Linked DNA regions of Anolis sagrei. The protein of the gene in region 1 purifies or fractionates together with the protein of each later gene. This does not show direct contact. Links are inferred from orthologs where the notes say so. Each region holds a gene or a part of one and is shown in the gene's direction. Other genes may lie near its edges.

Region 1 (7,102 bases):
CTTATGTACACACATATACATCCTTACACATACCACAAATCTTTCCACAACATGGAAAGAGCATGCTACAAGTAGTGATGTTACCTCCAACAGGGAATAGCAACTTGCCATTTGAAAATGGTTATGCATGGGAGTCATATTGTTTTCTCTATTACATAACAACAACTTCTTCTTAAAAACTTCTTAAGCATGTTGGAGACATTTTGATAAGAGCTTTTCAAGTGTTGCGTCATTATCTTCAATCCTAAGGGATCCTTTTAAATGAAAGGAGAAACAGTGAAATGTTCCAAATAATATAATGAGTCATTTTATAACAATTGCAAAGCACACACTAACAAATAATGTGGGAAGAATTGTAGAGCAAGTAGCATGTTTAATTAAAAAGTACTTCTTAAAAAGTAACTTTCCAAAAGTGTCGCTCCTGCCCCACCTCCCAATCTGCCTCTCTTCCTCCCCATCATCTTAAAGGCTGGGGAGGAAGAGAGGCAGATTGGGAGGTGGGGCAGGAGCGACACTTTTGGAAAGTTACTTTTTAAGAAGTACTTTTTAATTAAACATGCTTTGTTAGTGTGTGTCCCCATCATCTTAAAGGTTAGGAGCCCCCAGTGGTGCAGTGGGTTAAACCTCTGTGCCGGCAGGACTGAAGACCGACAGGTCGCAGGTTCGAATCCGGGGAGAGGCGGATGAGCTCCCTCTATCAGCTCCAGCTCCTCATGCGGGGACATGAGAGAAGCCTCCCACAAGGATGATAAAAACATCAAATCATCCAGGCGTCCCCTGAGCAATGTCCTTGCAGATGGCCAATTCTCTCACACCAGGAGTCACTCCTGACACGACCAAAAAAAAAAAAAATCTTAAAGGCTGCTTTGCCATGTAGCAAATGAAAACCTGAGGTATCAATAAGGATAATAAGGTAATAGACTGACACTTCTGATTGATTAGATAAAAACTCCTGTCAGGAATAATAACATATAAAATGGTTACTGTAGCTTTGGTTATATTACTTATTTGGGACTTTTACAATACTGTAAACACACTGAGTAGGACGACTGCATTCTGGATATGATGACTTATATATAGTGGAATCTCAACTTAAGAGTGGCCCTACTTAAGAAGGTTTTGAGGTAAGAAAGGTTGCTCAGCCCAGGTTTTGCTTTGACATATGAGCAGTGTTTTGAGTTACGAGCTAGTGCCAGAGGGAGTGCTAGAACCAGAGGACAGGAGTTTAGGGCTTCAAGAGAGCAGTTGCCCTCATGTTCTTGTCCGCTTTGGAAGACTTCTGCTTGCTCTTGTCCACTTTGAGGAACTTTGGGTTAGTTGATTTCTTGTGTTTGTATTCCTGGTGTTTTTGGCTTCATGAAGAGAGAGAGTTTTTTTCATCCATTTCCTCTTGGTACTTCTTTTGAGATTAACTTTATGATATTCTGGGACAAACCCCTCAAGTGTACGTTGTTGTTTGGCATCAAGTGATCTTCCTTTTGTCCTACCTTATATTTTTCCAAGTATCATCTTTTCCAATGTATCATCTCATCTTATGAGGAGTATGATACTTTTGTCAGTCCCTTTGGGTTCTAGAGAGAATGCAGACTTAATTTGCTTTTAGACCCACTTAATTCTTCTGGCACTCTGCGATATCTGTAAAACTGACTTTCAGCACCAAGTTTCAAATGAATTAATGTTCTTCCCTGCAGGTCTCTTTGCTGTCCAGTTTTCTCAACCACGTAAAGAAACTCCTATGGTACACAGAATATGACTACCTTCTATTTTCCTTTGTCCCTATACCACCTTATGCTTATTAACTATTAAGAGACTCGGGTTGTAGCTTCCTTGTTTGAGTCTATCCACCTGGAATGTGGTTTTCCTCTTTTCCTACCACCTTTGATTTTATTGAGGATTAGTCATTTCCAGTGAGTCATGTCTTCTCATAATATTGGACACAATTTACATCAGTGTCGATTCAGGCTTGATTTGCTTTAGGACCCATTTATTAGTGCATTTAACTGTCCATAACTGTATCCATAACCCTTTTCCAGCACCATATTTCAAATGAATTGACTTTCTCTTTTTATCTGTTCTACTCGCTGGTCAACTTTCACAACCATATATAGAAATTGGAAGTACATTGGCATGGACAAGTTTTACACACACACATATGTAAAGGTTTCCCCTTGACATTAAGTCTAGTCATGTCCAACTCTGGGGGGTGATGCTCATATCGATTTCTAAGTCGAAGAGCTGGCATTGTCTGTAGACACCTCCAAGGCGTCAAGTTGTCAAGTTTCTTTATAGCTGCCCACCCAAGTCCTAGTCATCTTCTTTCTTGACCGCCGTCTCCATTCTCCAAGTCCAGATATGAAAATCATGACCACCTTAAGCCATAGGGAGAGGTGGTAAGAAATTATTTATTTATTTATTCATTCATTTATGATATTTATACCCCGTCTCTTTTCTACCCCTGAAGGGGGACTCAAGACGGCTTACATTAGTAACGGTGCAAGGCCGCTACATCACAATTACAATAATATAAACACAATCAAATACAAAAACAGTAATTAAAACCAGTACATATAGCATTAATTAAAACAGTAAAACAAAATGACAATGTCATCTGCCACAACGCCATTCCAGTCAAAGTCCACTAAGGTGTAAATTACGTCTGCTGCCCAAAGGCCTGGTCCCAAAACCACAATTTTAATTTTTTTTTTTCCTGAAAGCCAGGAGGGATGGAATCAATCTTCAATCAGTTTCATTTGGGAGTGCATTCCATAGGTGGGGGGGGGGCCACAGCTGAGAAGGCTCTGTCTCTTGTTCCCGCCAAACGCGTTTGCGATGTTGACAGAAGCGAGAGCAGGGCCTCCCTGGACAATCTTAGATTGCAGGATGGGACATAAAGGCAGATGCGTTCGGACAAGTAAACTGGGTCAGAAACATATAGAGCTTTATAGGTCAAAACCAGAACTTTGAATTGGGCTCGGAGGTGGACCAGCAGCCAGTGGAGCTGGCATAGTAGGGGGGTGATATGTTCCCTGTATGTTGCCCCAGTTAGTAATCTGGCTGCCTCCTGTTGGACTAGCTCGAGTTTCCGAGCTGTCTTCAAAGGCAGCCCCATGTAGAGCACGTTGCAGTAATCTATTCGGGATGTAACTAGAGCGTGGACAACCATAGCCAGATCAGACTTCCTAAGGTACAGGCACAGCTGGCGCACAAGTTTTTCTCTGTTTCCAGGCTCAGCGATGAGTCCAGGATCTATCCCAAGCTGCGAACCTGCGTCTTCTGGGGAAGTGTAACCCCATCCAGCACAGGCTGTAACCCTATGCCCTGTTCGGCCTTTCTACTGACCAAGAGAACCTCTGTCTTGTCTGGATTCAATTTCAATTTGTTAGCCCTCATCCAATACGACCCAGCGGCCACGCACCGGTTCAAGGTCTGGACAGCCACCTTAATAACAGGTGGGAAGGAGTGACAGGTTTAGACGTAATCTGCATACAGATAACACCGTATTATTTCACAGCGTTTCGTGTACAGTAGGATCCTCGGCCTATTTTCTCCTTATTCAGTGAAGTGTTGCTTTCATGACCCACCTATAAAGCTTTATTTCTGGAAGAGAGTGAAGGCAGGTTTCTTAAGAAAGGCCTTAAGCAGGAATATCATCAAACTGTGGCCCTCCAGTTTTTTGGGCCTCCAATTCCCAGAATCCCTGGCTACTGAACAAGCTGGGAGTTGGGAGGCCCAAAGAGCTGGAGGGCCACAGCCTGAGGTGGCCTGGCGTAAAGAAAATTGGTAGTTGAGGATGGCTACCAACAGTATAATTGACACTGAGAGAGATAACTGGACAATAGGGGACCATATACAGGTAGCATTTCAGGACATCGACTCCCTTCGCAGCAGACCACTTGCTGTTGCTATGGTTAAATGGAGGAAGTACTGGCTGTAAACAGAAGCAACAGCCTCGAAGGGGGAGGAGCCTCGAAGGGGGCGGGGCGGGGCGCCTTCCTGGGCGGAAGCCGTCAAGCCCCGCCTCCTAGAGGCGCCTCAAAGCCGCGCGCGGGATGTCTGTCAGGCGCTGCCAGCCAATGAGAAGACTAGGAGGCGGTGCCTGCGGGGTAGCTGTGACGGCACCAACCCGGAAGTGGTCTGTCTCCCGGCGAGAGGGGTGGCGGTGACAGCAACCGTGGCGGGTCCGGGCGGGAACCCCTCAGGTAGGGCGCCAGAGGGCCTCGGCCCCTTCACCCACCCGCAAACGCGCATTTGGGGCGCTAGCCGCCTCTCTGGGCTGTATGTGCAGCCTGGAATGTTCTGTGTGTCACGGGGAATGAGGGGCCTGCCTCGATTTGGGGGGCTCGGCCCGCAGAGTTCCCCGAGGCCTACTTTGTTGCTCTAAGACACCAGTTACCAAGCTCTGGACCGAAGTGATTGGGTACATTTTTGAAAGTTTGATCTGTTCCTGGTTTGAAAGTGTTATTTCCTGTTTATTTATTTATTTATTTGTATACCGCTTTACTAATTACTTTATTTGTAATTATGTGATACTTACTTTGAAAGTAGTTGATATACTCCAGAAACTTTGTTTTTATGGCTACCACAAACTGTTGAATTATTTGAGATTTGGTCAGATATTAATTGAAAAATTATAGCAAAACGTGCTGCAGGATGCCCCGCAAAAACACAATTTTTGCAGTTTAATAAACTTTTCCCATATTGTTATGATAGAACAAATCAGGAAATGACATTTATTATCCAGGAACAAAAATCGTGTTACATAGTGTTTCTTTAGTGGGGTAGATATACCACAGTCTGGTTAGAATGTGATGTTTAGGAGACCGGTTCTACCACTTGTGAGGGGATGCTGGAATCCGTCAGTGTGTTACAGCCAGTTTCAGCTCATATCAGGTTCAATTGGGGGGGACGGGGAACGGGGGATGACGACAACACAGTTAAAACACCTATAAAAATATGCAAAATAAAATGTATATATTAAAATACATGGTACAAAAGATAAAGTACAATAGTAATAGAATGTAAATTTAAAACTGAGTTTTAAAATTGACTGGGCAAGCCTGCCGGAAGAGCCTGCTGGAAAAGCTCTGCTGGTGATACTTGCTTGCTCCTTCCATCCATCCTTCAGGCGGCGGGCCTGTGTCCTGGCCCTGGAGCAGAATGCGGGGCGACTCCATGGCAGCCGAAGTGGAAGTAAAAGTGACGGGGCAGAACCAGGAGCAGTTCCTGCTGCTGGCAAAGTCTGCCCGGGGAGCAGCCTTGGCCAGCCTCATCCACCAAGTGCTGGAGGCCCCTGGCATCTATGTTTTTGGAGAGCTGCTTGACATGCCCAACGTCCGAGAGGTGAGCCCTGACCGGCCCTCAGGGGCCAAATCTGTATAATTCCTGGAAGGCGGCTGGAGGGATTGGGGGTTTCCCTGAGTCTGAGCAACCCCAGTTCTGCCTTTTAAGACTGCCTTAATGCTTTGATGTTATAAAAGGCCACACTAAATTGTTTCCCAGAGCAAAGGGCCTTATTTGGGCAAACATGTTTCTAAACCAGGCATGGGCAGACTTCGGCCCTCCAGATGTTTGAAGTCTAATACACTTGGAGGTATGAAGTTTGTTTGTGCCTGCACAGTTTGATTAGTTTTCTCATTGGCTTCCTGTTACAAGGTCTATTAGCATTAATGAAGAAGGGTTAGGGGCCTTTTCTCATAACCACTGGAGAAATGTCATGAGTCAGCAACAATGAAAACAATGTTATTGAGGTCTTTAGGAAGACTTCAGTTATTCTTGAAGGACACCAGTAAGAGCAGAGACATTTCTCTCAGCATCTATGCTGATAGGCAGAGGAAGAACAATGTGTTTGAGGGTAAGGTATTAGTTTGCATTACTCAGGATTTCAGCTGATGTCAGTGTTGAAAGGAGAAAGTTGAGGAACCATTGTCATAAGCCTCGCACATTATTCTCCCAAATAATTTTTCAAAGCCGGAAGCATCCTGTGTTTATGTAACTAACAGCGAAATCAAAGTTGTGTTATGGGGGGGGGGGGGGGGATGAGTATGTTGCTTTTGAACCTTTTGACCTTAAAAACCTAGACAAATTATGGGTCATTGCACTTTTATTCCATTGTTCTTCCAAATGGCTTGAATTGATGTATATGGTTCCCTGCTTCTTCCTCTTCAAAACAAACCTGCGAGGAATTGGTACAAGGTCGCCTAGTAAGCTGTCTGACTGAGCAGGAATCCATTTAGTCCAGCACACAATGTTTCTTATTTATTTACTATATTTATTTATTTACTGCATTTCTATACTGCTGTCTCTCTGAGCAGTGTACAACATGCCAATATACATATAAAAGCAATACATAACATTAACCAAAATCAATAACATATAAACATGAATTAAACCCTTAAAACGCTATGCATAAAAACACAATCACCTAAAACATAGAGGAAAATTAACATTGCACCATTCCCGGGGGGGACTCAGAGCGGCTTACAATTTGGCAAAATTCAGAGCGATACATAGTATGATTAATTAAAATCAATAAACACATAAACATGATTTAAACCATTAAAACATTATACATATAAACATCGTAGAATATATATAAACATTGCACTTCACCAGTTAAAATGCAGCATCTCTCACACCAGAGTGTTGTGCTACCATGAGGAATTTGGAATCGTACGTGTGCAACAATTTTCACCAGGATGTAGATATTTCTTTGGGTTGCACCAATCTAGACTTCAGGTGAAAGGTTAAAGTACTGTGTTTTGTGCCATCATTCAGCAACAGAAGTTCTGCCCACAGTAAGCTAGGATATCCTTATCTAGTATTATATGTACAGAGAATTTGTTTTATTATATGGAAGAGCACTTCATCATATTAACTCTAGGCCCAGATAAATAATGTATTTTTCACCACAGTTACAAGTACAGTCCACTAGTGTGGTTCATGGGACTGGCTCATAAAATTCATTTGTTGCTCATATTTGAAAATTCTGTGCCTTAAAACGGTGAGAAGAAAAGTTTTATTTCATTAGCAATGAAATGAAAAATTTTGGAAGCACAGGCTTTGGGACAAGCTGGGGAAAAGTAAGCGGTAAGAATTGTTGCCA
Region 2 (6,864 bases), on another chromosome or scaffold:
CAAGGTCTTGACATTGGGAATTTCCAACAAATCTTGGTCCTCAGAATGGAGGGATCTCTGGGGTTGGTAGGGGGTGTGGCGGTTCCTCAGGTACATCAGCCCCCGACCATGCAAGGCCTTAAAGGTAAGTACCATCACTTTGAAAGTGATCCGGTGCTCAATTGGTAACCAATGCAGCTGCAGTAAGATTGGTGTTATGTGGCATCTCATCGGAATTGTTGTCCATGAGAACTCCAAGATCTTTTTCACACATACTGCTCTCAAGCTAGGCGTCCCCCATTCTGTATCTTTGCATTTCATTTTTTCTCCCTAAGTGGAGTATCTTGCATTTGTCCCTGTTGAATTTCATTTTGTTAGTTTTGGCCCATCTCTCTAATCTGTTAAGATCATTTTGAATTCTCCTGTCCTCTGGAGTACTGGCTATCCCTCCCAATTTGGTGTCATCTCAAAACTTAATGATCCTGCCTTCTAACCCTTCGTCTAAGTCATTAATAAAGATGTTGAACAGGGCCCAGGACAGAGCCCTGCTTGTGGCACTTCGCTTGTCACTTCTTTCCAGGATGAAGAGGAAGCATTGGTGAGCACCCTCTGGGTTCGTCCGCTTAACCAATTACTGGTCCACCTCACCGTAGTTTTGCCTAGCCCGCATTGGACTAGTTTGTTTGCCAGAAGGTCATGGGGGACCTTGTCGAAGGCTTTACTGAAATCCAGGTACGCTACATCCATGGCATTCCCCACATCTGCCCAGCTTGTAACTCTATCGAAAAAAGAGATCGGATTAGTCTGGCATGACTTGTTTTTGCTAAATCCGTGTTGACTATTAGTGAACTCTCATGTTTCCACAGCACTGAGCCATGCCAATCAAAGTTGTATCATACAACACTATTATTTGACTGACACAAAAACACAGTATGTCACAGCAAATGAGAGATATATGCTGCATTATTATTATTATTATTATTATTATTATTATTATTATTATTTCTTACCCTCCTCTCCTCATGGCTTGAGGTGGGTTACAACATTGTTAAACCATACTTTCATCTAAAAACATTCTTTAAAATACCCATATTAAAACTTGTCTTAAGAAGGAGCCCCTGGTGGCGCAGTGGGTTCGAATCCGGGGAGAGGCGGATGAGTTCCCTCTATCAGCTCCAGTTTCTCATACGGGGTCATGAGAGAAGCCTCCCACAAGGATGATAAAAACATCAAATCATCCGGGTGTCCTTGAAGACTGACAATTCTCTCACACCAGAAGCGACTTGCAGTTTCTCAAGTCACTCCTGACATGACAAAAAAAAATCAGGTGCCTAAAGCAGATCGCTGTCATTTCCCTGCAACCAGCTCTCCATTTCTCCTTCCTCCAGCTCAACCTCTTCGGCAGGGAGATGGGCGGGAACTAAAGCCGTTGCTGTTGCAGTGGAGGCCTTCCCTTTTGCAACTTTGGGAGCAGGTGATGGTTTTTGGCTGGGGGGTTTATCACCCATGATCAGGCTTGTTCCTTTTGGGCATTCTGCCACCACCGGCCCTCGCACCCACATGTGAAGCATGTCCCTCGCCTTCCCTTCCTCTCTCTGCTCATCGACCAGCCTCTTGGGGAAGGGTGTCACATCCCTCCGGCTTGACCCACCGCTGGATGCCTGGTACGGCCCTCCTCTCTGGAACGACGCGGCATCTGCTCTTTGTTGTATTTCACTCTCCTGGCCAACATAATCCAATTGTCTAAGTTGTCTGGATTGCCAGGATACGGAAGAAAATGTTTTTAAGTACAAGAGGGAACTTTCTTACACAGGATGCTTGTGGTTAACTTCAAATGTTGTTTTTGAAGCGCAGAGGCTGCATATACAAGAAGGTACTTTCCATCAAAAAGTCAAGAGAGGGGGGTGGAAAGGGAGTACTTTTCCATGACAAAAAATGTTCTTGTTTACTTGAGGTTATATATTTGGTGGTCAAAAGCCAAGGGGGCACGGCAGTCATTTGAAGGGTAGCATCTGCGCATGCTGCCCGGCTGTCCGTCTTCTTCATGAAGAAACTAAAATAAAACCTTGTTTTTTAATCTTTCATTGGGACTGTCTTCTTCCTTCCGTGCTCCTGCAACGTGGACCTAAAACGACCCAATTTAGGGTTTCTAACACTACAAAGCGTAGAGCTTTTTCGACCTATGCTCCAATTCTGTGGAACTCATTGCCTCCATACATTAGAGCAATGTCGGAGTTGCGACCTTTTGTAAAGGCACACAAGACTTGGTTGGTTGTGCATTTAAGTAATCAGATCTAATTTGCCAAATAGTCACTGTTGTATGTTTTTATGTTGAATGTTTTTATATTGTGTAAATGCTATTTTAGATTGTAAGTCGCTCGGAGCCCCTTGGTGGAGAACGACTAATTAAGAAATAAAGTGAAGTGAAGTGAAGTCACAGTGAATTCTATAGTACAGGGGTCCTCAAACTAAGGCCTGGGGGCTAAATACGACCCTCCAAGGTCATTTACCTGTTCCTCGCTCAGAGTCAATCTAAGTCTGAAACGACTTGAAAGCACACAATAACAACAATCCTATCTCATCAGCCAAAAGCAGGTCCACACTTCTCATTGAAATACTAATAAGCTTATATTTGTTAAAATTGTTCTTCATTTTAATTATTATATTAATTTTACGTGTTTTTTGCATTACAGTTAATATATGTGCACTGTACATATGAATTCACTCATGTTTTTTTTTTCAAATTATAATCCGGCCCTCCAAGTTTGAGGGACTGAGGGAGACTGAGGGTCTGGAGAACAAGCCTATGAGGAGCGGCTTAAGGAGCTGGGCATGTTTAGCCTGAAGAAGAGAAGGCTGAGAGGAGATATGATAGCCATGTATAAATATGTGAGAGGAAGCCACATGGAGGAGGGAGCAAGCTTGTTTTCTGCTTCCCTGAAGACTAGGACATGAAACAATGGCTTCAAACTACAAGAGAAGAGATTTCATCTGAACATAAGGAAGAACTTCCTGACTGTGAGAGCCGTTCAGCAGTGGAACTCTCTGCCCCGGAGTGTGGTGGAGGCTCCTTCTTTGGAAGCTTTTAAACAGAGGCTGGATAGCCATCTGTCAGGGGTGATTTGAATGCAATATTCCTGCTTCTTGGCAGGGGGTTGGACTGGATGGCCCATGAGGTCTCTTCCAACTCTTTGATTCTATGATTCTATGTGTCCAGAGGAGGGTGACTAAAATGATCAAGGGTCTGGAGAACAAGCCTATGAGGAGCGGCTTGAGGCTCATGTTTAGCCTGAAGAAGAGAAGGCTGAGAGGAGATATGATAGCCATGTATAAATATGTGAGAGGAAGCCACGGGGAGGAGGGAGCAAGCTTGTTTTCTGCTTCCTTGGAGACTAGAACGCGGAACAATGGCTTCAAACTACAAGAGAGGAGATTCCATCTGAACATGAGGAAGAACTTCCTGACTGTGAGAGCCGTTCAGCAGTGGAACTCTCTGCCCCGGAGTGTGGTGGAGGCTCCTTCTTTGGAAGCTTTTAAGCAGAGGCTGGATGGCCATCTGTCAGGGATGCTTTGAATGCAATATTCCTGCTTCTTGGCAGGGGGTTGGACTGGATGGCCCATGAGGTCTCTTCCAACCCTTTGATTCTATGATTCTATGACTGTGACCTGGCCCTCTGTTTAAAAAGTTTGTGGACCCCTGCTATTTTAGATGCACTATCAACCGGCTAAAACTTTAAATGCGGGTCACGCGGCATTCTTCCCTTTTTCTATCTCTATGGTCCTGAGCGTTCTCCTAAAGCGGGACCCGCTCGTCACAAACTGGCGAATCGCTGGAGAGGATTGGGGAGACGTCACCACGGTGAGGCCGGAAGTACGTAGCAGCGTGCGGTGGTCCCACCTCCGTCTCCAGGAAGCACCCGTCTTCCCGCTTCATCGGCGGGAGTGGGACAGGGTGCGAAGATGCCAGTGGCCGTGATGGCGGCGGCGGCGAGTGGCGCCTTCAGCTACCGGAAGCTGCTGGAGCAATGCGAGACTCAGGAGCTGGAGGTCAGGAAGGGAACCGGGCGTGGAATAGGCTTTCCTCGCCTCTCGCTTTCGAGTCTGGGACGGGGCCCTCCTCGTCACCCTCACAAACCCAGGGTTTGACCGTCTCGCCTGAAAGCCGGGGTTTCCCTAGGCCGAAGGAGCAAAGTGGGAATGAATGGGCCGCCCTCACCAGTTCCTCTATGGACACATGCTAGAATGAGTGCGGTTGGCTACCATGGCTTAATTCTGGGACGCATGGAAGTGGTAGTTCTACAAGGCCTTTTAGCCTCCTCTGCCGAGTGTTTCAATAAACTACAAACACTGTGATTCCAGAGCATTCAGCCATGTGGTGTCCCCTTCACTGCTATATAATCCACATTATCAAAGCAGATAGTCCACAATATTTGCTTCGATTATATGAGTCTACATTGCTAAATAATCCAGTTCAAAGAAGATAGTCTGGATTTATATGGTATTTATTTATTATTATTTGTCGTGTCAGTGCAACCAATCAATTATATTACATTTCTAACATAACAAAGCAAACAAACAGACAAAATACAAAATTTGTGAGTTTGGTAGTTGATTAAATGTCCTTTGACCAGTATCTGGCCACTTGAAGTGCTTCTGGTGTTGCTGCAAGAAGGTCCTCCATTGTGCATGTGGCAGGGCTCACGGTGCATCACAGCAGGTGGTCAGTGGTTTGCTCCTCTCCACACTCGCATGTCGTGGATTCCACTTTGTAGCCCCATTTCTGAAGGTTGGTTCTGCATCTCGTGGTGCCAGAGTGCAGTCTGTTCAGCGCCTTCCAAGTCGCCCAGTTTTCTGTGTTCCCAGGGGGGAGTCTCTCATTTGGTATCAGCCATCGGTTGAGGTTCTGGGTTTGAGCCTGCCACTTTTGGACTATCGCTTGCTGAGGTGTTCCAGCGAGTGTCTCTGTAGATCTTGGAAAACTATTTCTTGATTTAAGTCGTTGACGTGCTGGCTGATACCCAAACAGGGGATGAGCTGGAGATGTCTCTGCCTTGGTCCTTTCACTATTGGCTGCTACTTCCCGGCAGATGTCAGGTGGTGCAATACCAGCTAAGCAGTGTAATTTCTCCAGTGGTGTAGGGCGCAGACACCCCATGATAATACGGCATGTCTCATTAAGAGCCACATTTTATATGGTAGTGTATAAACTTTCTCAAACTGCATTCCTTCCACAGTATGGATGCACCTATAGTTTTTAAAACACAGTTGCCGTGATTTCAAAGAAATTCATATGAATGAAGAGCAGCGTTTCTCAAACTAGCTCTGCTCTTCCAGGTCTTTTGGACTTCAGATCTCAAAAATGCTAACAGTTTACCAGCTGTTAGGAATTGTGGGATCTGAAGTCCAAAACATCTGGAGGAATACAGTTTGAGAAACTCAGATTAGAGAAAAACATCTCATGAGATGTGATCTTCTTGGTATTTGTATAGCTGTGCCCTGCCACGCGTTGCTGTGGCCTATAGTAAAACTTATCAAAGTTGAGGTAGATATCTGGACTATTATGAAAGAGAGGTCCCTACCTATTCCTTCCCCCTTTTCCTCCCCCTTTCTCTCCTTTCTTCCTTCTCTACCTCTTTCTTTCTTTCACTACTTGGTTTCATCCTTCTCTCTTTCCTTCATTCCCTCCCCCTTTCTTCCTTTGCCTTTCTTCCCTCCCTGTTTGCTTCCTTCTTTCACTTTTTATTTCCTTTTATTTCACCAGCATCATAACAATAACAATAATGCAATGCATTGCCTCCGGGACCTGACACCTCTCCCATTCCCCCTAAAAGGGTCTCATAGGAATAATAGCATCATAATAATCATAGAAATAACAACCTTTACCCGCCACGTGTTGCTGTGACCAACCTTCCCTCTTTCTCTCCTTCTTTCCCTCCTTCCTTCCTTCCCTCCCATCTTTCCTTCTCCTCTTCCTTCTCTATCTCCTTCCTTCCCCCTTTTTCTTTCTCTTCTGGCCTCTTTCCTTCCTTCTCTCTTTCCTTCTTTCCTTCCCTCCCTCTTTCTCTACATCTTCCCCCTTCCTTCACTCCCTCTTTCCTTCCTTCATTCCCTTTTTTCTTTCCTTCTCTCCTTCCTTCCTTCCCCCTTTTTCTTTCCCTCCCTCTGTCTCTCATTTCTTCCTTCTCTACCTCTTTCCTTCCTTCCCCCTTTTTCTTTCTCTTCTGCTGTCTCTCTTTTCTTTCCTTCCATCTTTCCTTTTCTTCTTCCTTCTTTCTCTAACTTTCCTTCCTTCCCCCTTTTCTTTATCTCCCTTTCTCTTTCTTCCTTCTTTCCTTCCTTCCTGTCTTTCCTGGATTTTGACAGGGCGGGAAGGGGTGCGGTGGGGTTTGGAGGTGGCATGAAGTAAAAGGAGGTAAGATTGGGGCAGGCGAGTGATGGAGCGTGAGGTTGTGTGTGTGTGTGCGGCAGCGGGGGGAGTGATGGAGCGTGGGGTTGCGTGTGTGTGTGCGGCAGCGGGGGGGAGTGGGGTTGCGCGTGTGTGTGTGGCGGTGGGGGAGTGATGGAGCGTGGGGTTGCGTGTGTGTGTGCGGCGGGGGAGTGATGGAGCGTGGGGTTGTGTGTGTGCGTGCGGCGGGGGTGTGTGTGCGGGAAGCGGCGCGGCGGGGCTTGGAGTGGGCATGGCTTCCGCAGAGGGAACTGTGTGCGCGCGCCAGGGAACTTGCGGCTGGGCACCAATGCGCATGCTCAGTTGTTTTGCCATTTTGTGAGTGTGTTGTTGTGTTGTTTTTCATTTTGAGTAGATATGTTTGTACCTTATGGGTTGTGTTATGGGCATGGGAATTTTGGTTAAGTTTCGTTGGGGGGTTTGTGAGTTTTGTTGATTTG
Region 3 (8,012 bases), on another chromosome or scaffold:
TTTAAAAAACTCAGAATTTGAAAAATAGGGGTCTATTTATTTTGAGAATAAGCATTTATTTGCGATATTTACTTTGTTGTAACTTATCTCTAATGGTAGAATGACTAATCCAGCTTTATATTATATACTAATTTATACACATATGCACATCCATATATATCAGGCATGGGGAAACTGGGGCCCCCAGGTGTTTTGGACTTCAACTCCCACAATTTCTGAAATTGTTAGGAATTGTGGGAGTTGAAATCCAAAACACTTGGAGGGCCCAAGTTTCCCCAAGCCTGATATATATGTACATAAAATATATTCTACCATTAGACACAATAAAAAGTTCAAATAAAGTAAATGTAGAAAAAATAAACCCTACTAATAATAAAAAGGAATTCACAATTTTAAAATCATCCCATTCATAACTCTTTTTTGCGTTATTTACCTATTTGATTAATATCCCACTGTTTTTCCAATGCAAGTCCTTAAGAGACATAGCTATACTTAAAAATGATTTGTTTCATTAAAAAGGAATTATTTAGTTACTTATATACTACATTTATACCTCACCCTCTCTCACTCTGAAGCGACTCAGAGCAGCTTGCAAGTTATTTCTACACTCAATATATCATATTAACATAGCACAAAATTAGCATTATATATTACTATATTCGTTTGATGAATGCAAGGCTGAGGTAAAAATTGCTGGAAGAAACATTAACAACCTTAGATATGCAAATGACACCACTTTGATGGCCGAAAGTGAGGAGGAGCTGAGGAGCCTTCTAACCAAGGTGAAAGAACAAAGTAAAAAGGCCGACCAAGGGCAAGATGGATGGATGGCATCATTGAAGTGACTGGACTGACCTTGAAGGAGCTGGGGGTGGTGACAGCCGACAGGGAGCTCTAGCATGGGCTGGTCCATGAGGTTACAAAGAGTCGGAGACGACTGAACGAATGAACAACAACAAGCTAATTCTAAAGCCAACTGCCGCTCTGAGGCCAGAGAGAAGAGAGGAAGCCAGGAAGACAGTTCCACCTTGTCTCCTGTACCACCAGTTACGGGCCCCTCCTCCCAGCAACACTATATAATACTAATATTGTGCTATGCTAATAATATAATATGTTGTATATACATATAACATTGATAATATTATAATGTAATATACTACTATTCCTAATAATACAATATAATAATAATAATAATGATATATATTCCATGTAATATTACAGTATAGTGGTATAGTAGAATATAGTAATATATAATGCTTATATATCTAATGCTTATATATAGTTATATATAGTTATATACTCTCCCCCAACCTATTCAACTTGTATGCAGAACACATCATGTGATGTGCGGGGCTTGAGGAATGCAAGGCTAGGCTGAAAATTGCTGGAAGAAACATTAACAACCTTATTGTCGAAGACTCTCATGGCCGGAATCCTGGGTTGTTGTAGGTTTTTCCGGGCTATATGGCCATGGTCTAGAGGCATTCTCTCCTGACGTTTCGCCTGCATCTATGGCAAGCATCCTTAGAGGTAGTGAGGTCTGTTGGAACTAGGAAAAAGGGTTTATATATCTGTGGAATGACCAGGGTGAGACAAAGGATTCTTGTCTGCTGGAGCTAGGTGTGAATGTTTCAACTGACCACCTTAGATATACTACACAGAGAAGCCATTGAAATCCATAAGCATGTGGACAATTTCAACAGAAAGGAGGAAACCATAAAAATCAACAAAAACTCTAAAATTGCAACAGCACAATAACAGAGAGGAAGCAGGCAGGGACATCTAATTACCTCTCAACAAAGGTTTGCCCCAGGCACAGTCAGGCCATTGTATGCTAATCAAGGTGGACAGTTGAAACATTCACACCTAGCTCCAGCAGACAATAGTCCTTTGTCTCACCCTGGTCATTCCACAGATATATAAACCCAATTGCCTAGTTCCAACAGACCTCATTACCTCTGAGGATGCTTGCCATAGATGCAGGCGAAACGTCAGAAGAGAATGCCTCTAGACCATGGCCATATAGCCCGAAAAAACTCATTAACCACCTCAGATATGCAGATGACACCACTCTGATGGCCGAAAGCGAGGAGGAGCTGAGGAGCCCTCTAATCAAGGTGAAAGAAGAATGCGCACAAGCTGGGTTGCAGTTAAACATTAAAAAAAACCAAGATTATGGCAACAAGAATGATTGACAACTGGGAAATAGAGAAAATGTGGAGGCCGTGACAGACTTTGTATTTCTAGGTGATGACTGCAGATGCAGACTGTGGCCAGGAAATCAGGAAATCAGAAGCCGCTTCCTTCTTGGGAGGAGAGCAATGTCCAATCTTGATAAAATAGTGAAGAGTAGAGACATCACACTGGCAACAAAGACCCGCATAGTTAAAGTTATGGTATTTCCCATAGTCACCTACGGATGTGAGAGCTGGACCATAGGGAAGGCTGAGCGAAGGAAGATCGATGCTTTTGAGCTGTGGTGTTGGAGGAAAGTGCTAAGAGTGCCTTGGACTGCGAGAAGATCCAACCAGTCCATCCTCCAGGAAATAAAGCCCGACTGCTCATTGAAGGGAAGAAGAGGAGAGACAAAGCTGAAGTACTTTGGCCACATCATGAGAAGAAAGGAAAGCTTAGAGAAGACAATGATGCTGGGGAAAATGGAAGGAAAAAGGAAGAGGGGCCAACCAAGGGCAAGATGGATGGATGGCACCCTTGAAGTGACTGGAATGACCTTTCCGACTCTTCGTGACCTCATGGATCAGCCCACGCCAAAGCTCCCTGTCGGCCGTCACCACCCCCAGCTCTTTCAAGGTCAGTCCAGTCACTTCAAGGATGCCATCTATCCATCTTGCCCTTGGTTGGCCCCTCTTCCTTTTGCCTTCCACTTTCCCCAGCATAATTGTCTTCTCTAGGCTTTGCTGTCTCCTCATGATGTGGCCAAAGTACTTCAACTTCGTCTCTAGTATCCTTTCCTCCAATGAGCAGTCAGGCTTTATTTCCTGGAGGATGGACTGGTTGGATCTTCTCGCAGTCCAAGGCACTCTCAGAACTTTCCTCCAACACCACAGCTCAAAAGCATCGATCTTCCTTCGCTCAGCCTTCCCTAAGGTCCAGCTCTCACATCCATGGCTTTGACTAGGTGGATCTTTGTTGCCAGTCTGATGTCTCTACTCTTTACTATTTTATTGAGACTGGACATTGCTCTCCTCCCAAGAAGGAAGCGTCTCCTGATTTCCTGGCCACAGTCTGCATCTGCAGTCATCTTTGCGCCTAGAAATACAAAGTCTCTCACGGCCTTCATATCTTCTCCCTCTATTTTCCAGTTGTCAATCATTCTTGTTGCCATAATCTTGGTTTTTTTTATGTTTAGCTGCAACCCGGCTTTTGCGCTTTCTTCTTTCACCTTGATTAGAAGGCTCCTCAGCTCCTCCTCGCTTTCGGCCATCAGAGTGGTGTCATCTGCATATTTAAGGTTGTTAATGTTTCTTCCAGCAATTTTCACCCCAGCTTTGCATTCCTCAAGCCCCGCACATCCTCGCATGATGTGTTCTGCATACAAGTTAAAAAGGTTGGGTGAGAGGATGCAGCCTTGCCATACGCCTTTCCCAATCTTGAACCAGTCTGTTGTTCCGTTGTCAGTTCTGACTGTTGCTCCTTGGTCCTTGTACAGATTCCTCAGGAGAGAGGGAAGGGGGCTTGGTATGCCCATCCCACCAAGAACTTGCCACTATTTATTATGATCCACACAGTCAAAGGCTTTAGAATAGTCAATGAAGCAGAAGTAGATGTTTTTCTGAAACTCCCTGCCTTTCTCCATTCTCCAGCATCCGGATATTGGCAATCTGGTCTCTCGTTCCTCTGCCTTTTCTAAACCCAGCTTGAACATCCGGCAACTCTCTCTCCATGTCTTGCTGGAGACTTTCTTGCAGGATCTTGAGCATTACCTTACTGGCATGAGAAATAAGGGCCACTGTACGGAAGTTGGAGCAGTCTTTCGCATTTCCCTTTTTTGGTATGGGGATATAAGTTCAGTTCTTGTGGGTTTTTTCGGGCTATATGGCCATGTTCTAGAGGCATTTCTCCTGGTCTCCACGTTTTCTCCTTCTATTTTCCAGTTGTCAGTCATTCTTGTTGCCATAATCTTGGGTTTATTTTATGTTTAGCTGCAACCCAGCTTTTGCGCTTTCTTCTTTCACCTTGATTAGAAGGTTCCTCAGCTCCTCCTCGCTTTCGGCCATCAGAGTGGTGTCATCTGCATATCTGAGGTTGTTAATGTTTCTTCCAGCAATTTTCACCCCAGCTTTGCATTCATCAATCCCCGCACATAGTATGATGTGTTCTGCATACAGCCTTGCCGTACGCCTTTCCCCATCTTGAACCAGTCTGTTGTTCCGTGGTCAGTTCTGACTGTTGCTACTTGGTCCTTGTACAGATTCCTCAGGAGAGAGGGAAGGGGGCTTGGGATGCCCATACCACCAAGAACTTGCCACAATTTATTATGATCTACACAGTCAAAGGCTTTAGAATAGTCAATGAAGCAGAAATAGATGTTTTTCTGAAACTCCCTGCCTTTCTCCATTATAGCTTTAGCTGTCCTTTAAACACACTCGGGTCAAGAAGGAGGTGGCATTTCACACAATGTGTGCTCAAAGTTTCATTTGGTTCCATTCCTGTCAGAGCCCTGAGCTGACACCAGGCTTCTCTCAAAGGCCCATCTTGCTCCTGCCAATCACTTCGCCGCTGTCCAATCAGAACCAAGTAGCCTCGCCTGGCAGAGCTGGCAGAGGTTACACAACGAAGGGCTGCCGCTCAAGCTGAAGCGACCAATGAGAGAGCGGCTTTCCGTCTTATCTCCCGCCTTTCTGGAGAATTGTCCAATGGGAGATTCGATTAACCTTATTCCCCCCCCTTCTCGCTCCTGGAACCCTAGCAGCCAATCAAAGAGACGCAACGCTTTTAAAAGCCTCGAGCCGACCCACGTGGGGTAGTGACTCGCAGCCAATCAGTGAGCAGCCGGCTTGGAACCTCCCACCTTTCGCTCCCAACTCTAGTCAGAGGCGGATTCCGCCTTAAGATGTAAACAAGGCCTCGCGCTGTGACCGTTGAGAGGGTGAGGAGGGTCTCGCGCCCGCGGGGAAGGGAGGGGGGAGGCAAAGAGCGCGCGCGCGGCCTGTGATTGGCTGAGCCGAGCGCGGCGCGAGGAGAGGGGAGGGGGAGGAGTAGAGGGAAAGAGACGGCAGGTCGGTTCGAACGAAGGCAAGCGGAAGGCGCTCTGATTGGTGGGGAGGACGGATGGAACGTTGAGGGTTGGGAGGGCGGCGTTGGGTTAGCCAGAGTGTCCCCCCAATATGTTGAGCGCTGATTGGAGGAAGCCCCGAGTACGGCGCGTGCTTATTGGAGGAGAGGCCTTAAAGGGTTTTCTTAGCCCTCTAATTGGCTCAGTGGACTTCTCCCATCTTGATTGGTGGCTGGAGGAGGTGGGGTGTTGAGGGATGAGGGAAAATAACAGTGTAAACTCTGGGTAAGGAGTGATTTTCACAGATAGGCCTCACCAGAATGGAGTTTAAAAGGGAGCCAGTGCGTTCTCTTTAGTACTGACGACTGTGATTGAATGTGGTTAGAATACAATCCAATGAGAATGTCATGGAAACAAGGGAGACTGAGAGCATTGTATTCTAGTATCTGGAAGTTGTAGAGTTGGCGCACTGCAAAGGATAGCCAGTCAGGAGGGGGATGATAGGTAAGTAAGTACAATACCCTCCCAATTAATTGGAACTCTCAAGAAGTGTAATACAATATAACACCAATAATAATATAATTATATATTTTATATTAAATGTAATATTACTACTACTAATAATAATGGTATAGTATAATGTAGTAATATATAATACTGATATTTATTTATCATGTGAGGAGCAAAGCAGATTTATTTATTTACTTACTTACTTTATTTGTATACCGCTCTTCTCAGCCCTTAGGCGACTCAGAGCGGTTTACAACAGTTTAGATATACAGAATACAAAATCATTATGCATTTAAAAACAATTACTAGTATTATATTGCATTACATTACAATATTATAAATATTATATGTATATACAATATATTATATTATAACATATTATTAGAATAGCACAGGAGACAAGGTGGAACTGTCCCCTGGCCCCTCTTTCTTCCCTCTGGCCCAGAGCGGCAGTTGGTGCTGGGGGGAGGGGTCCCCAACGGATGGCAAATGCAGGAGACAAGATGGTGCTGTCCCCTGGCCTCCCCTCTCTTCACTCTGGCCCAGAGCGGCAGTTGGTGCAGATAGTTGTATATCATTTTTTTAACAAACAGACAAACAAACAAAACACAAAGTTTGCAAGCTTGGTAATTGATTAAATGTCCCTTGACCAGTAGCTGGCCACTTGAAGTTCTTCTGGTGTTACTATAAGAAGGTCCTCCATTGTGCATGTGGCAGGGCTCAGGTTGCATTGCAGCAGGTGGTCTGTAGTTTGCTCTTCTCCACACTCGCATGTCGTGGATTCCACTTTGTGGCCCCATTTCTTAAGGTTGGCTCTGCATCTCGTGCCAGAGCTCAGTCTGTTCAGCGCCTTCCAAGTCGCCCAGTTTTCTGTGTGCCCAGGAGGGAGTTTCTCATTTAGTATCAGCCATTGACTGAGGTTCTGGGTTTGAACTTGCCAGTTTTGGACTCTCGCTTGCTGTTGATCTTAGAAAACTATTTCTTGATTTAAGTCGTTGAAGTGCTGGCTGATACCCAAACAGTGGGTGAGCTGGAGATGTCACTGCCTTGGTCATGAGAGAAGCCTCCTCGCAGGATTGCAAGACATCCGGGCATCCACTGGGCAACGTCTTCGTAGATGGCTGATTCTCTCACTCCACAAACGACTTGCAGCATACTGATATTGTACTATGCATAATATATTGTATGTGTATATGTATCTTGTAAGCCGCTCTGAGTCCCCTTTGGGGTGAGAAGGGCGGCATATAAATAAATAAATAAATAAATAAGAAGCTGGCAAAATAATTTATTAGTATTATATTTATTTACATCTTGTTTTATCCTTCCCAAAAGGGACTCAAAGTGGCTTGATTAAAATTCCATACTGCATCCCCAAAGCTGTATTTATAACACAATTTTATTTATTGTGTCAGAAGCAAATTTTTTTCATGTCAGGAGCAACTTGAGAAACTACAAGTCGCTTCTGGTGTGAGAGAAGTGCCCGTCTGCAAGGATGTTGCCCAGGGGATACCCAAATGTTTTGATGTTTTACCAGCCTTGTGGGAAGCTTCTCTCATGTTCCCAAATGGTGAGCTGGAGCTGTCAGATGGAGCTCATCCATGCTCTCCCTGGATTCGAACCTCCAACCTGTTGGTCTTCAGTCCTGTCAGCACAAAGGTTTAACCCATTGCGTCACCGGGGGTTCATTATAATGTATAAAAACCACAAAGAAAGTTAAAATCTTGGCATTTTGCTAAATTTCCTTTGAGCAGAATCTAGCCACTTGGAGTGCCTCTGGTGTCGCTGTGAGAAGATCCTCCATTGTGCATTTGGCAGAGCTCAGGTTGCATTGTAGTCAGTGGTTTGCTTTTCTCAGCCCCATTTCTTAAGATTGGCTCTGCATCTTGTGGTGCCAGAGCACAGTGCCTTCCAAGTCGCCCAGTCTTTTGTGTGCCCAGGAGGCAGTTTCTCATTCGGTCTCAGCCACTGGCTGATGTTCCGGGTATTAGCCTGCTTCTTTTGCAGTCATGCTTGCTGAGGTGTTCCTGCAAGTATCTCTGTAGATCTTAGGAAACTGTTTCTTAATTTAAGATGTTGGCATGCTGCCTGATATCAGAACAGAGGATGAGCCAGAGTTGTCAGTGCCTTGATCCCGGCGGATATCAAGGGGTGCAATACCGGCAAAAAAGTATAATTTCTCTAGTGGTGTTGGGAATAGACATTCTGTGATAATTCAGCATGACTCATTTAGAGCCACATCCACTGTTTTAACATGGTGGGATCTATT

What was found. Proteins that work in one complex are often made in the same cells at the same time.
Region 2: the proteins of COPS7A (region 1) and COPS8 purify together in Homo sapiens (affinity purification with mass spectrometry; 11 studies listed by BioGRID and IntAct, counting the BioPlex papers as one, with this or other methods). This does not show direct contact. The link is inferred for Anolis sagrei from reciprocal best matches to the Homo sapiens genes COPS7A and COPS8.
Region 3: the proteins of COPS7A (region 1) and DCAF11 purify together in Homo sapiens (affinity purification with mass spectrometry; 3 studies listed by BioGRID and IntAct, counting the BioPlex papers as one, with this or other methods). This does not show direct contact. The link is inferred for Anolis sagrei from reciprocal best matches to the Homo sapiens genes COPS7A and DCAF11.

What each region holds. Positions count from the first base shown.
Region 1 is NC_090022.1:197,717,292-197,724,393, forward strand, and holds the start of COPS7A (COP9 signalosome complex subunit 7a), read left to right. Parts: upstream 1-4,090; 5' UTR 4,091-4,199; intron 4,200-5,125; 5' UTR 5,126-5,157; coding exon 5,158-5,340; intron 5,341-7,102.
Region 2 is NC_090021.1:163,149,362-163,156,225, forward strand, and holds the start of COPS8 (COP9 signalosome complex subunit 8), read left to right. Parts: upstream 1-3,854; 5' UTR 3,855-3,939; coding exon 3,940-4,026; intron 4,027-4,267; exon of another isoform or gene 4,268-4,474; coding exon of another isoform or gene 4,475-4,477; intron 4,478-6,864. UniProt on the Homo sapiens protein: Component of the COP9 signalosome complex (CSN), a complex involved in various cellular and developmental processes.
Region 3 is NC_090026.1:8,259,130-8,267,141, reverse strand, and holds the start of DCAF11 (DDB1- and CUL4-associated factor 11), read left to right. Parts: upstream 1-5,002; 5' UTR 5,003-5,110; intron 5,111-5,445; exon of another isoform or gene 5,446-5,521; intron 5,522-5,531; exon of another isoform or gene 5,532-5,740; intron 5,741-8,012. UniProt on the Homo sapiens protein: May function as a substrate receptor for CUL4-DDB1 E3 ubiquitin-protein ligase complex.